2 linked regions of the Sus scrofa genome follow. The protein of the gene in region 2 interacts with the protein of the main gene of each other region in a pairwise test. Links are inferred from orthologs where the notes say so. Each region holds a gene or a part of one and is shown on either strand. Other genes may lie near its edges. The genes, in order: ERGIC3 and VAMP5.

Evidence for each region.
Region 1: the proteins of VAMP5 (region 2) and ERGIC3 interact in binary tests that used the Homo sapiens proteins (3 or more experiments, as listed by UniProt). The link is inferred for Sus scrofa from reciprocal best matches to the Homo sapiens genes VAMP5 and ERGIC3.

What each region holds. Positions count from the first base shown.
Region 1 is NC_010459.5:38,889,463-38,896,460, reverse strand, and holds part of ERGIC3 (endoplasmic reticulum-Golgi intermediate compartment protein 3), read right to left. Parts: intron 5,853-6,998; coding exon 5,759-5,852; intron 4,940-5,758; coding exon 4,774-4,939; intron 4,631-4,773; coding exon 4,573-4,630; intron 408-4,572; coding exon 393-407; intron 1-392. UniProt on the Homo sapiens protein: Possible role in transport between endoplasmic reticulum and Golgi. Positively regulates trafficking of the secretory proteins SERPINA1/alpha1-antitrypsin and HP/haptoglobin.
Region 2 is NC_010445.4:59,181,050-59,188,825, forward strand, and holds the start of VAMP5 (vesicle-associated membrane protein 5), read right to left. Parts: upstream 4,655-7,776; 5' UTR 4,178-4,654; coding exon 4,175-4,177; intron 1-4,174. Other genes in the region: VAMP8 (vesicle-associated membrane protein 8), read right to left, coding at 7,167-7,307. UniProt on the Homo sapiens protein: May participate in trafficking events that are associated with myogenesis, such as myoblast fusion and/or GLUT4 trafficking.

The sequences.
Region 1 (6,998 bases), on a different chromosome or scaffold from region 2:
CTGCCTGCATCTCAGGATTTAACCCACTGACTCTGGTCTCCTATTAACTAGAGCTGATGGCTAATCACTGAGCCCCAAAGTGAGATGGGACCTGAGAATGTGGTCCAAGCTCTTTCCCTGGCTCCTTGCCCCCACCCTCAAGCCACCGAAGGAAGTCCCACAGGCACCCTGTACCTCTGCTCCAGAACAGTTCTTCCTGCCCTCTAACCCTGATCCCTCTTGCTACAAGGAACCCCACCTCAAAGATATATCCCACAGCTTTTTATAGTCCACCCAGCAGCCAGGCCAGAGAAGAACCCCATCCCAGGCCCATCCAAACCTCTCCCCATCCTGGGTGGGCAGGCTGCCCCAGAAATGGGGGCTTGGCCTTGCTGGGGGGCAGGGCCACTTACTCTCCACAGCATGTACTGCAGCATGGGGGAGGGAAGCAGAGAGGAAGAGGAAAAGAAAAAAAGATTGAGAGCTTCACAATGAGAACAATGGAGCAAGATACATGGTAGAAGGGAAGACTGGACTGTTCCTGCCTCAGCAGCAGGGTCCAGACACAGCTAATAAGTCTCTCCTCAGGCCCCTCCCCCAAGGAGCCCTTCCCCGGCCAGAGAAGAGTACAAGGGGGCTTGGGGCAGAAGTATGGTGGCCTAGGAAGACAAAAGACCTAGAGCTCAAAGAGTCACTTTCCTAGCTGTGTGACTTTGGGCAAATCACTTGTCCTCTCTGAGCCTTGGTATTCTCCTCTGCACAGGGCTGTCCTGAGGACCAGGTAGGATCTAAGATGGGAAAGTCCTTGGTAAACTTTACAGTCTTCCCCTTTCCTCTCCCAAATCAACACGATGTCAGAAACTAGCTCACAGGCCTTCAATTCAGGCTCTGGCCATGGACAACTGTAGCTTCCCTTCGAACATCCCTCTAGGGAACAGTGCACCCTTTGTCCTGGGCTCCCTGACTCTGACAGAGAAGTGGAGAAGCACCCACCCTTCTGAGTTCCCACTGGCGCTGTGCCCACAGCTCCACATCAATCATCTTCCCATGATTTCAGAGAGACCACCCTTCCCCAGCCCCTCCAGATCTATCTACCTGCCCCGCCCCAACACTCAGCCTCATCCCCCCCACCCCTGACTGCCTGAAAGACCAGCAGGGCCATCTCCGTCGGGCCTGGTATTCCTGCTGAGCTTTATCACTGGTCAGCTCAAGACTTCTGGGTCATCCCACATCCTCTGGAGTCTTGTCACCAGATGGCTCTATCCATTCTCAAGTACGATCCTGTCTCCCATCCCTCTGAGACCTCCCGTGGGCCCTATTACTCAACAGCAAAACCCCAACATCTCCAACCTCCAAATATTCCCTCACCTTTGTGCTCCGACCGCAGCCTGGCTCTTCCCTGAAGGCACTATTTCCCTTGCAGCCCCCCAGGCAGGGGCTTTTTCTCTCCCATACCCTCTTCCTCCTTAACCTTAAGAGAGGTTCTCCTTGTTCCTCAATGCCATTTCCAGATCACTATCCCTTGATTTTCCCTAAAAATCTCCAGTTTTGCAGCTCATGGCAATGACACTACCACCTACTCCATCTGTCTGAACTTCTCGGAGACACACACAGACCTGCTGGTCAGTCCTCTCACGCCGGTTCTCCAGGGCTTTAGCCAGTGACTGTCTCCCTCTCCTATACGATGATGGCCCTGTCACAACTCCTGGTGGCCATGTCACTCAGCTGCCAACGCACCCATACCTACATAGTCTGCCTTTCCTCCTGTTGCCAAGTAAGGGCGTTCTACACAGCTAAGGCCTAGATTCTGTCTCTTCCTCCTAAAGGACCTCACTCCAGGGAATGTCCTCCCTCTCGGGAGCAGCACTTCTGCCCTCCTCAGCAGGTAATATCTGACAGCATATTAACACCAGGCGGCATCACACATCTGACAAACCACTCCCGCGCCCCCCACTGCCTATTTCCCTCCAGCCAGAGCCCACTCTCTCCCTTCCCTCTATTTTTAAAATTTATTTATTTATTTATTTATTGGCTGCACTCATGGCATGTGGAAGTTCCCAGGCCAGGGGTGAAACCTGCACCACAGGAGTGGCCTGAGCCACTGCAGTGACAATGCTAGGTCCTTGATCTGCTGAGGCACCAGGGGACTCCTCTCCCTTCCCTTTAGAACAAACCCCATAAAAGAGCTGTCTCCACTCATGGGCTCCAACTCTTCTCCTATTCCCTCCTGAACCCACTCACTGGCTGCTCCCTGGCACTCAACCCAAACTGCTCTGTTAAGGTCACAAAGACCACTACCATGCTATACCCCCAATGATCATTCTACTTGGCATCCAGAAGCATCTGATATGGTTTTGGAAACACTTCCATTTCTTGGCTTGCAGGACAAGCCAGGGCTCTGTGTTTCTTGCCAGGCTCCTCCGCTGCTTCCTCCTGAGCCCCGTCCTCTAAAGCTGGGGGTCCAGTGCTTGGTGCTCTGAGCTTTCCTCTTCACCACCTACCCTCACCTCCACCTGCAAGGTCCTTCATCCAGTTCCACAGCTTTAAATACACTGATGACTCCAACATTTGTACCTCCAGGCCAGACCTCTGCCTCGAATTCCACATTTGAATAACTCATTGCTTACCTGATACCTGGGTATCTAAAAGGACATGCTGAAAGCAGCTCTATGTCCCCCACTCCAACCATCTAAACCTGTTCCTCTGAGTCTTCACCGCCTCACTAAATGGTAACTTCATCCTTCTCGCTGCTCAAGTACAAAACTTTTGGAGTCATTCTCTTTGCTTTACCTTCCCACCCGACAGGAACTCCTCTCAGCTCTACCTTCAAAATATATACAATCACTTCTCACCTCCTCTACTGCCACTGTGCCCAGCCCCCATCATCCGGCACCCGGATCCATCACTGCGACAGCCTCCCAGCTGGCCTTGCGGTATCTGTCCTCCCCTCCACAGTCTTCACACAGCAGAATGCTGCCTACTTTTTGAAGTTTTGTGGGGTTTTTTTGCTTTTTTGTTTGTTTTTAGGGCTGCACCCAGGGCATATAGAAGTTCCCAAGCTAGGGGTTGAATTGGAGCTACTGCTGCGAGCCTACACCACAGCCACAGCAATGTAGGATCCGAGCTATGCCTGTGACCTGCCCCACAGCTCACGGCAATGCCGGATCCTTAACCCACTGAGTGAGGCAGGAATCAAACTTGAATTCTCATGGATCCTAGTCGGGTTTGTTAACCCCTGAGCCGTGAAGGGAACTCCTACTTTTTGAAGTTAAATCAGATCATGCACCACTTCTTCAGAGCCCTGCCACAGCCTCCTTCAGAGCCCTACCATCTGGCACAGGGTAAAAGCTCAAGTCCCTACAAGGCTCTTGGGGGCCCCACTTGACACGCCCCTGTCACTCCCACCTTATTCCTAACCCCGCAGTTCTGCTCACTGAGCCCCAGGCACCCTAATTCTCAAGGTACTGGTACCTCAAGTTCACCAAGCCCATTCCTGCCTTAGGGATTTCCATTCTCTGCTTGAAACGCTTCTCCCACACTTCTATGCGGCTGGTCCCTTCACTTTCTTCAGGTCTTTGCTCAAACATTACCCATCAGAGAGTCTTTCCCTGACCACTCTGTATGAAACGGCACACACATAACTTCTCTCTCAAGCCTCTCACCCCCATCATCTTTATCCTGCCTCTTATGGGTTCATGTTACTTAAAAACATCTGATGTACCATATAATTTATATACTTGTTTATTGTCTATTTCTTTACTAGGCTGTTCTGAGGGCAGGGAACTTTGCTTTGATCACTACTGTGTTCTTAGCACCTAGACTAGTACATGGCACACAGCAGGTGATTACTAAATATCTAGAGAATGGATGGATGAATAAATGAATGAGAATAAATTTCATTTACTCACACCTGTGAACAACTGTACGGTAGGTACTATTTCAGGCCCATTTTATAGGAGAAACTGAGTAGGACTCGATACTTCCCAAATATGACACTGCTCTGGGAAGGCAGAACCTGGGCTCCAGACCAGCTCTGCTTTCCCTAAAGCCTCACACACAGGTCATCTGACATTGGGGCTACCATTTAAACACATGCCTATCACAAGCCAGGCTCTGTGCTGTCATATTTTGGAGGATTTTTTTGCTGTTGTTTTTTGGGCTTTTTGTGGGGCTGCACCTGTGACATAGGGAGGTCCCAGGCCAGGGACTGAATCTGAGTTACAGCTGTGACCTATGCCACCGCTGTGGCAACACCAGACCTTAACCTACTGTGCCACAGCAGGAACTCCCATGCTATCATCTTTACCCTGCCCAAACAGCCTAGGAAATCAGTATTATTATCACCATTTTATAAAGTAGAACACTGAAGCTCAAAAAGGAAACTGTCTCCAAGTTTCAAATAGCCAGTAAGGTCTAAAACTGAAATCTGAAGCCAGGCAGTCTGGCTCCTCAGCTGTGCTCTTAACTGGTTACCAAACCCTGAGATGAGGGTTTGCTCTGGGCCAAAGACTAAAGAGCATCAGGCAGGCAAAGGGGCATTCAAACTCAACCTGGGTCTGGAAGTGAAGCTCCCGGTTGATGCAGATCACTTACCATGCACATGGGACTGCTGGAAGCTCTTCCCGGGGGCGAAGTGGAAGTTCCCAGCCACCTGTAAGGGAGATAACCCTCTCTTTCCCCAGCTGTTTCCGCCCTTCCTTTTGTCCCCTGAGGACAAGTGGGCCCTCGATTCACAGTGGAGTGGGGCCAGCCCACAGCCCCGCTGGCCCTGTCCTGCCTCGGGTCCTCCTGTACCTTGTTGACTTCCAAGAAGCCGTACACCTGGCAGCCTTCATTCTTCTGCTCCTGCATCTTCTGGCTGAAGCCCTCCCGCCGGCACTGCTCAATAGTGTCTGGGTTCTTGAAGGCCCAGCCTCGACGGCGATATGCCTCCCGCACATCCTCGCAGGAGTTACAGCACCTGTCGGAGATGGGGTGCAGGGGTAAGAGTGTCAAACAGGCACAAAAATAATGCTGGCATCTTGGGAAATAAAGCGGTTCTGTCCAATAATGAAGCCTTGCCAGCCTCATTCCTGACCACCAAACATTCTCAAAGTTTGTTTCCTCAGCAGGACTATTAAAAATACATATTCTCATTTTGTTTGGGATGATGAAAAGTTTTGGACCAGGCAGTAGTGATGGCTTTACAATACTATGAATGAAGTTAATGCCACCGGACTGCGCACATGAAAATGGTTAAAGTGGTAAATTTTATTTCATATATATGTTACCTAAATAAAAAAATTTTAAATACACATTCCCAGGCCCTACCCTAGACCAGCTGAATCAGCCTCTCAGGGGCCAGGGCCCAAGAAACAAAACAGCAATTGCCACATATTGAGGGCTTAATAACCCGGGCTGGGCCTTCCAGCTCAGTGCTTCACAAACAGAATATATTTACTCCTTATGTGACCCTCTGAGAAAGGTAATATTATCATCCCCTGTCACAGGAGAGGTTTTATGTAGCTTGGCCCAAGGACACATGGGTGGAAATCAGGCAGCTGGACTCCAGAGACTACCTCTGAAACAGAGCAAGGACCACTTCAACCTCATCCCTGCTCTGCAGCCCCCAGGCAGGGCCCGGCCACAGAGCCTCAGCCACTTGCACCAGCATCGGTGACCATCTTGTCTAAATTCTTGGTCCGGCCTCCCTACCCCCAAGGTCCAACACAGGCTGAGGATGACCAACGAAAAGTGCCTGGTGGGAGCTGTTCCCCACCACTGCCCAAGTCTGGCTCACTTGATGTCTTCCGTCTCAGCGCCATAGCAGCTCTCACAGCGATCGGGGTCCAGGGAGTCAGGGTCAAACACCTTTATCTCGACTTTCCCGAGCTCTATGGGGAGGGCAGAGGCAGGGGTATCAGCTGGGGGCAGGCACAGTGAGATCTGTACTCCCAATCCCTGCATGCACCCTTCAGCCTGTGGCTTAAGAATAATAAACATTATAATAGCTAATATTTACATAGTACATACTAAGTGTCAAGCACTAAGTATTTCTACACTGTTATTTCTTTTAATAAAGGTAACAGTAATAAAACAGTAACAGCAAATACTAAATATTACCTGAGTATAGTTGTGTACTTTACATATACATATATTGTCTTTTTTCAGCCCCACAATGACTTTGTGAAGGTGGAGGTTATTATTCCCATCGTACTTGAGGAGGAGCTGAGGCTCAGAATTGAAAGGTGATTTTGCCTAATGCAACCCAGTAAGTGGCAGATTTCAACTCTAATTCCAAAGTGTATGCCCTTAACCATGGTGCTTCTCCTCGGTCTCTTTGCACCTGGCTCCCTGCCTTTAACTACCTCACTGTAACTGGTGATTTCAATATTCAATACCCTGACCTTCTGCCCTCCAATCCTCTTTTTATTTTGTCATCTAACCCTATACACCCATTTCCATACTCATACCCAGAGTTATTACCAATTACCATTAACCTTCCAAAATTCAATTTCAAGTATCCTAGTCTTCAATCTTATCATCATTTCCCCAGCTTTCTCTCTCTGGCACCCAAACTCCACCAGTTCTTTGACATCATGGACACTATCACCCTTTCATGTCCTCACTTCCCTCATTTAAATTTCACGGTCCAGGAGTTCCCGTCGTGGCGCAGTGGTTAACGAATCCGACTAGGAACCATGAGGTTGCAGGTTCGGTCCCTGCCCTTGCTCAGTGGGTTAACAATCCGGCGTTGCCGTGAGCTGTGGTGTAGGTTGCAGACTCGGCTTGGATCCTGCGTTGCTGTGGCTCTGGTGTAGGCCGGTGGCTACAGCTCCAATTAGACCCCTAGCCAGGGAACTTCCATATGCCGCAGGAGCGGCCCAAAAAATAGCAAAAAGACCAAAAAAAAGAAAAAAAAAATAAATAAATTTCACGGTCCAAATGGGAATGAACAGTCTCTTTAACAAATGGTGTTGGGAAAACTGGATATTCACATGCAAAAGAATGAAATTGTACCCTATTTTACACCACTCACA
Region 2 (7,776 bases):
TCACTATAGGAGTTCCCATTGTGGCTCAGCAGGTTAAGAACCCAACTAGGATCCATGAGGAAGGATGTGGGTTCGATCCTTGGCCTTGCTCAGTGGGTTAAGGATCCGGCATTATCGTGAGCTGTGTTGCAGATGGGGCTGGGATCTGGCATTGCTGTGGCTGTGGTGTAGGCCAGCAGCTGCAGCTCCAATCTGACACCTAGCCTGGGAACTTCCATATGCTGCCGCAGGTGCAGCCCTTAAAAAAAAATGAAAAAATTCACTATAGGCCAGGGAAAAGAGATGTATATGACATAACTAGAGAAAAGAGTTTAGGAGTTCCCTGGTGGCTTAGTTGGTTAAGGATCCAGCATTGTCACTGCTGTGGCGAGAGTTTGAATCCTGGCCTAGGAACTTCCACATGCCATGGGCAGGCATGGACAGAAGTGGAAAACCTTAGGCTGAGAGGCTACGAGAAGGTGTGGGGAAGTGCCATCAGCAAGGGTATGAGGCGATGTCCCCAGGCTGGGGGGAGTGGTGGGTGAGGAGAGGAAGGGTGGGTAAGAGAAGCATTTCCGAGGCTGGAGGTGGGGGAGGTAGGCAGTGCTGTTGGCAGGCGGGGAAGTGTTAGTTAAACAGGAAATTGACAGAATGTCACCCCATGTGCAGAATATCCCTCTTTCCATTCTCAAATCTCCTTTCAGGTTTTTCCAGGCTAGAGTCAGTTGCTCTGAAAACAAATCTCTCAAAAACCTCCCCCGTCAACTCTCCGGTCTCCCCTCTCAGCTGTCATTACCGTCGTCCTCAAAAGGACTCAGACTGGAGTTCCCATTGTGGCTCAGCCAGTTAAGAACTTGACTAGCATCCATGACGATGCGGGTTCGATCCTTGGCCTCGCTCAGTGGGTTAAGGATCCAGTGTTGCCTCGAGGTGCATATAAATGTGGCTTGGATCTGGTGGATCTGGCTGTGATCCAGACCAGCAGCTGAAGCTCCAATTCAACCCCTAGCCTGGGAACTTCCATATGCCGCAGGTGCAGCCCTAAAAAGAAAAAAAAATGTACCTGGGCGGCAATCTGGTGTATCGACTCCTTCCTGGGTCAGCACTCACTTAAGCTCAGGGTCTAAGAGTCAGGGTCTGCATTACAGCCCTGGTTCCTTTAAATCCTGCCTCTGTCGCTCACCGGCTAAGTGACTAAAGACTAAGGATATGACTTTTTTGACCTTCCGCTTCCTCATCTATAAAGTAGTGACAATAATATCTGCCATAATATCAGCCAAGGCATGTGACATGTTACAAATAAAGTTTTTACCAGAGTTCCTGACTTGTACTAAATGCTCAATAAATAATAGCTATTATTATCACTGTAGCCCAAGATTCCCTACCTTTTTTTTTTTTTTTTTTTTTTTTTAGCTATCGGATCCCAGTACCTACACAATGCTTGTGGTCCATAAAGCCTCTTAGACATTTTGACAAAATACACAACCAAGCAAGCTCTTCCCTTTTGCAAACTTGTGCACTTGTTTCTAACCTAAATATAGAACTTGACACTGGCCTTTGATAACCTGTATCTAGTTTATTTCCATCAGTCACAGCAGACTGTTGAGAAGGTTTTACATCTTGACAGTGGTAACAGCCACCATTCAGTGGGCACATACTCTGAGCTAAGTTCTGTGCTTCCTGCTGTTTATTTCATTTAAGCCTCACAATAATGTGCTTCAATGGGAAAGTGCTGTTATCCCTGTCGTATAAGAAACTGAAGTCAGAAGGGTTAAGTCACCGAACCAAGGTCACAGAGCCAGTGACAAGGAGATCTCAGAGTTGAATCAACTTCGACTCCAAGAATCACATTCTTAACCCCTATGCTGAACTGGATGCAGGTAAAGAAAGGCCAAATGCTTTAGCTGGCTGGCTAAAGACTCACCAGACCTTCTGATGCTGCCAGCTCAACTTGTGTGCATGTGAGTTTGGCTCAAAACTCAAATTCTTTGCACAGGGCCTGAGAGAGGACCATCTATGAGATGAATGATGTCAAGTCATTACTCATTAAATTTCTGTCTTTCCCATCAATATTTTCTTCCTACTCTGTTTCCTATGCCAGTCACCATGCCTGGCACAAAGAAAATGCCCAAGAAACACTTGTTATGTGAGTGAATCAGAGAAGAGGAGGAAAGAAGGGAAAGGAAGGAAAAGAAGGAAAAGTAGGCAAGGCAGATGTGAAGAAGGAAGGGAAAGTGCCGGGGGTTGACGAAGGGGCAGGAGTGAAAGAAAAAATAGGGGTGGGGGAGTGATGAACGGGGTGGGAGGGGCAGGAGGAGGTTGGAGTTGGCACATGCGCATTGAGATATATGGAATGATTGGTCAACAGGGACCTGCTATATAGCACAGAGAACTCTACCCAGTATTCTGTGATAATCTATGTGGGAAAAGAATCTTAATGAGAATGGATGTGTGTACAGGTATGACTGAATCACTTTTCTGTACAGCAGAAATTATCACAACCTTTTAAACCAACTATACTCCAATAAAACTTTAAAAACTGGAAGAAGAAGGAGTTCCCGTCATGGCGCAGTGGTTAATGAATCCTACTAGAAACCACGAGGTTGGGGGTTCGGTCCCTGCCCTTGCTCAGTGGGTTGACAATCCGGCGTTGCTGTGAGCTGTGGTGTAGGTTGCAGACACGGCTCGGATCCCGCGTTGCTGTGGCTCTGGCATAGGCCAGTGGATACAGCTCCGATTCGACCCCTAGCCTGGGAACCTCCATATGCCACGGGAGTGGCCCAAGAAATAGCAAAAAGACCAAAAACAAACAAACAAACAAAACAACAACAACAACAAAAAAAAAACCAAAAAACTGGAAGAAGAAGAAAAAAAAGAAAAAAAAAACAGAGGGAAGGAGCGAGGAGATGGATGGGAGACAGGCATCAGTGTACCCTCCCTGGGCTCAGATGCATCATTTCCTCAGATGAACCTGTGAGAGTCCCAGAGTTTTCCAGTACCTTCCAATAAATGATCTTAGTCTCAGCCTTGCAGAGTTTCCTCTTCTCTCCAAGTGCTTAAGGGTTAGCTGCAAGCCTACCCTAACCCTGCCTGATCCTTTGCTCCACCCGCTGGGAAGTGGGCTCTGGGGTCTGTCCTATTCTCCAGCCTCCCTCAGTTTCCTGGCGTGGCTGCAGAGCTCCACGCTACCTTCCTGCCCCGCTTCCTCTTCCTGCCTCCAGGTCCCTGGAGATGAGGCCATCCAGGCATCCAGACCCCCAGCCAGGCCACATCCATCACACCTCTGCTGGCTTTCCACGGGCAGAATCCCAGTACCCAGCCTGCTGGCGCCTGCCGGGGCCCAACTTCCAGGGAGTTCTAGCAGAGAGAAGCCTCCAGTACCACCTATTCTTGACACCTTAGCCTTGGAGAAGGCAAGTGGGAACAGAGGCCCAAGTCTACAGCAGGAGTGGGGGATGACTCAACTTAAGAATGTGTCCCTAGATAGGGGCTAGAAGCAAGTCAGGCTATGCCACCCCCTGATAACTTCAGTGGAACGCTTACAGTAAACATCTTCCTTTCTCTTTCCCCAGGGGGAGGAGTTTGCCTTCCAACACCCTGGCACAGGGGCTGGCATGGCCTCTACCACCCCATCTGCTCAGGTTTCCAAGCCCTGGGCCAGACTTGGCTCCTCACAGCTTCAGGAAGGGCTGAAGAGGTCATCATATTACCCACCACTTCTCAGGAGCAGGTTCTGAGTACCAGGCAGCTCTCTGCCACCGTCTCTCCTCTAACCTTCCGAGGACCCAGCAAGGCTGTCGGTATTGCTGACCCCACTTCACCATGCGGAAGAGGAGGCTCAGGGAGGCTAAGTGACTTGCCCGGGGTCACAGAGTGGGTAAGTGGCCACCAACAGGATCTCTGCCCGGAGTCTGACACCGAAGCCGGTGCTTGTAACCACTTGGCCCCCTCAAGTGGGAAGCCAGAGTCCCGTTCTCTTGGCGCGGAGCTGCGGGGACCCGCGCACGCCCCACTTTCCCTCCCGGGATGCGCGAGGTGAGCGGAGGGTCTGTTTTGGTCCTGCTCTGGCCGGCACTACCTCGCTGGGGGACCAGCGCGGGTTCCGGGAAGACGCCCGGGCCCTTGGACTTCGTTCTATCGCCTCGCACTCCCACGTCGCTCGCCCTCTGCCCGCCGCCCAGCCCCGGGCTCTCACCATCGTCGCTGCTGCCGCCACCTCGTCAGCTCCGGCTCCTCTGCCCTCAAGCGGCCGCGGTGCCAGGGACCAGGGAGGAAACGGAGGGCGGGGCCGGCTCGGCGGGGGGCGGGGGGCGCGCGATCCCTGCGCCGCGACCGTGACCAAGACAAATCGAAAGCGACCGGCGAAGGATTCTGGGCTCCGGGGCCGGTGCCTCTCCCTGCGCCGCCGCCGGCGCCCGGCCGCGAACGACTCCCCAGCCTCGTGAAGTGGGGGCTCTGCATGGACAGCCTGGTGCCAGGTCTACACCTCGGGGGCCCGCTGGAGTGGGCTCTGGAGTGGGCTCAAGGAGTCCTCTCTAGAGCTGCATCCCAGATCTGGTAGATCGGGTTGACCTGGGGAGGCATCATCATTTATTCATTCAACAGGAACCTGTAGGAGTGCCACTGCCCTGCCCTGTGCTAGGCGCTGCCCACCTTGATGAATGCAAATTACCCATCACCCTAAAAACGACCTCCTCAAAGTTTTGAAACCAAATAAATTTTATTCACAATAAATGGTATTAATACACTACCTGCCACTGGATTGTACATTATAAAACAGTCGATTGTATGTTTTGTGAATTTCACCTCAATCAAAAGAGAAAACAGAGAGCCCCTTCCCCAACCCTAGTTCTAGCTTTTTCTTTACTTCCCTTTCACCACGTGCTAAGTGCAACCCTGCCCTAATATGCCCCTGTTCCTCAATGGGAGGATGAGGGAGGTTGGTGTGTCCAGTCCTTCCAGAGCCTTCTTGAGCTGGATCCGTCCATCCTCAGCCTCTCCTTTCAGTGCTTCAGGGAAGCCACCTGCCACCTCTTCTCCACCGCACCCCTTGCCACCCCCAACATCTCAGAGGTGGCCCCTTTTAAGGAAGGAGGCTTAAAGTTCCCTCTCCCTGGATGAATCCCAGTGAACAAAGACCCCACCCCCACCCAGGACGGTGAGTCTGGGTTGCAATGGCTGAGGCTGCTCGGAGCTCCAGTCCAGGAGTGGACTGAGGACAGGGGATGGACATGGTTGTGACAAAGATCACAGCAAGGAGTTCCCGTTGTGGTTCAGCAGGTTAAGAACCCGACTAGTATCCATGATAATGCAGGTTCAATCCCTGGCCTCCCTCAGTGGGTTAAGTATCTGGCGTTGCCGTGGACTGTGGTGTAGGTCTCAGACATGGCTTGGATCCTGCGTGGCTGTGGCTGTGACGTAGGCCAGCAGGTCCAGCTCCAGCTCCAATTCAGCCCCTAGCCTGGAAACTCCCATATGCTGCAGATGCAGCCTTAAAAAAAAAGAAAAAAAAAAAAAAAAAAGACTGGGGTGGGGGTCTCATCTGTGCTTTCCTCCCTTCCTAGTTTTCAGAGCATGATTCTAGAACCCAACTTGCCAGTACTAAGTCTCAAATCCTGTCTCCCACCCCTGCCCTTCTGGACTCCCTCCCCCAAACAGGTTCAATTGTGGAACACCTATGGGGGAAACAAGGACAGAGATGATGAAAACCCTTCCCTCAAACCAAGGCAGACTGGGTACCGGAAAGAGTGACAATGACGATGGAACCTGGTAGGGAGGAGGGAGGCCCAAAGACAGAGAGGCCCATTGTCCGTCGAGGGGAAGGAAGGCCATAGGCCCTGTCCTGTGACACTGACTGTGCCCGGCCACGGGACACGCGTGAGATGCTTGCCCCCTCAGGACAGCTGAGACCCAGAGGCCCTGCTAAGCTCCAGGAGGGCAGGGGCAGACAAAAGACAAATGGAACTTGCAGAACCACAGGAGACGGAAAAGCAGTTCAGTTCCTCCAACACCCCGCACCCCACCTCCCACCTCTAGAGTACAATAGGGCCATGGAAGAGAAAGAGCACTGATGGGAGGGGCAGGAGGCCCTTAACCAGACGAAAGGGTCAGCCCAGGTAGGTTTCCCATCTCAGCTAACACTTCCCGCAGAAAAGTAACAAAGGAAATGGCAAGAGAGGGCCACTGGGAGTCTTACATACCACCCTAAAATGTTGGGGGAGGTTTTGAATTTTCTGTATGCTGAGACCTCCAGAAAATTCCTCTTCTTGAGACAAGTGACAGTGATGGAGAAAGGAGAGATAAAGAAAGTCAGGGAGGAGTTCCCTCTGTGGAGCAGTGGGATTGGCAGCATCTCTGCAGCCCCAGGATACAGGTTGGATCTGGCATTCTCTGGCCCAGGAACTCCATATGCTGCAGGGGTCGCCAAAACAACAAAACAAAACAAACAAGAAAGACAAGGCATTTCCACTTTTCTCCTTCAAATATATGCTCTCCGCCCCTCCAATAACTTGGCCCTCCAATGGGAGACTCTGCCAGAGGGTCTTCAGAGAGAAAAGCAATAGAAGGGCCAGGAGTTCCCGCTGTGGCTCAGCAGATTAAGAACCCAACTAGTATCCATGAGGATATAGATTCGATCCTGGCCTTGCTCAGTGGGTTAAGGACTGACTGAGTGTTGCTATTGAGCTGTGGTGCAGGTTGCAGACCGGCTCGGATCCTGAGTTGCAGTGGCTGTGGTGTAGGCTGGCAGCTGCAGCTCCAATTCGACCCCTAGCCTGGGAACTTCCATATATGGTGGGTGTGGCCCTAAGAAGACTAAAAAGAAAAAGAAATAGAAGGTCCAAACGGAAAGGGAGAAAGGACCTCACACGCATAGGGATACAGAAAGGTCTTTATTGCCCACTGGCCACCGTCAGTTCCATCAGCTTCCCAGCCACATGCTGGGCCCTCTGGGTCTGTCTCTCCAACCACCTCTGAGGCCCCCTGAGACACAGCCACAGTCTGGCTCTCTCCTTCCAGGGACCAAGGTACTCACGGGGGCAGACAGTGCGGGGGTCTCAGAGTGAGAGGCGGGAGGCTCGAGCAGCATTCTTTGTGGAGGAGCATGGGAGAGAGGGCCCCTCTCGGCACCCACTATGGAAGGTTGCCCTGAAGAGGAGGGCAGGGTGGAAGGGGTTCCCTAAGTTATTTTAAGGGATGACGTTGGTGGCAAAGAGCACGATGAAGAGGATGATGATAAAAACGATCACGCAGATGATGACGATCATCTTCACGTTCTTCCACCAGAACTTCCGAGCCACCTTCTGGGACGTGGTCTTGAAGTGCTCAGACTGCAAGAGATAAGGCAGAGTGACCCAGTGCCTCCTCCCACTGGACCACGAGTACAAACAGAGACCCGCACACCACACATTTAAGTGTTTAAGTGCTAGGAGTTTCCCGGTGGCTCAGTAGGCTAAGGATCTGGCATTGTCACTGTGGTGGCTCAGGCTGCAGCCATGGCCAGGGCTCAATCCCTGGCCCGGGGAACTTCTGCCTGCGTTGGGCATGGCCCAAAAAAATAAAAATAAAAAAAAAATATTTAGGTGCTGGAGTTCCTGCTGTGGCCCAACAGGATGGGTGGAGTCTTGGGAGCACTGGGACGCAGGCTTGATCCCTGGCCATGCACCATGGGTTAAGGATCCAGCCTTGCCGCAGATTCAGCCTTAAGGGGCAACTGCAGCTCAGATCTGATCTGTGGCCTGGGAACTCCCTGAGCTGCAGGGCGGCCAAAAAAGAAAAAAAAAAAATTACATAATTATA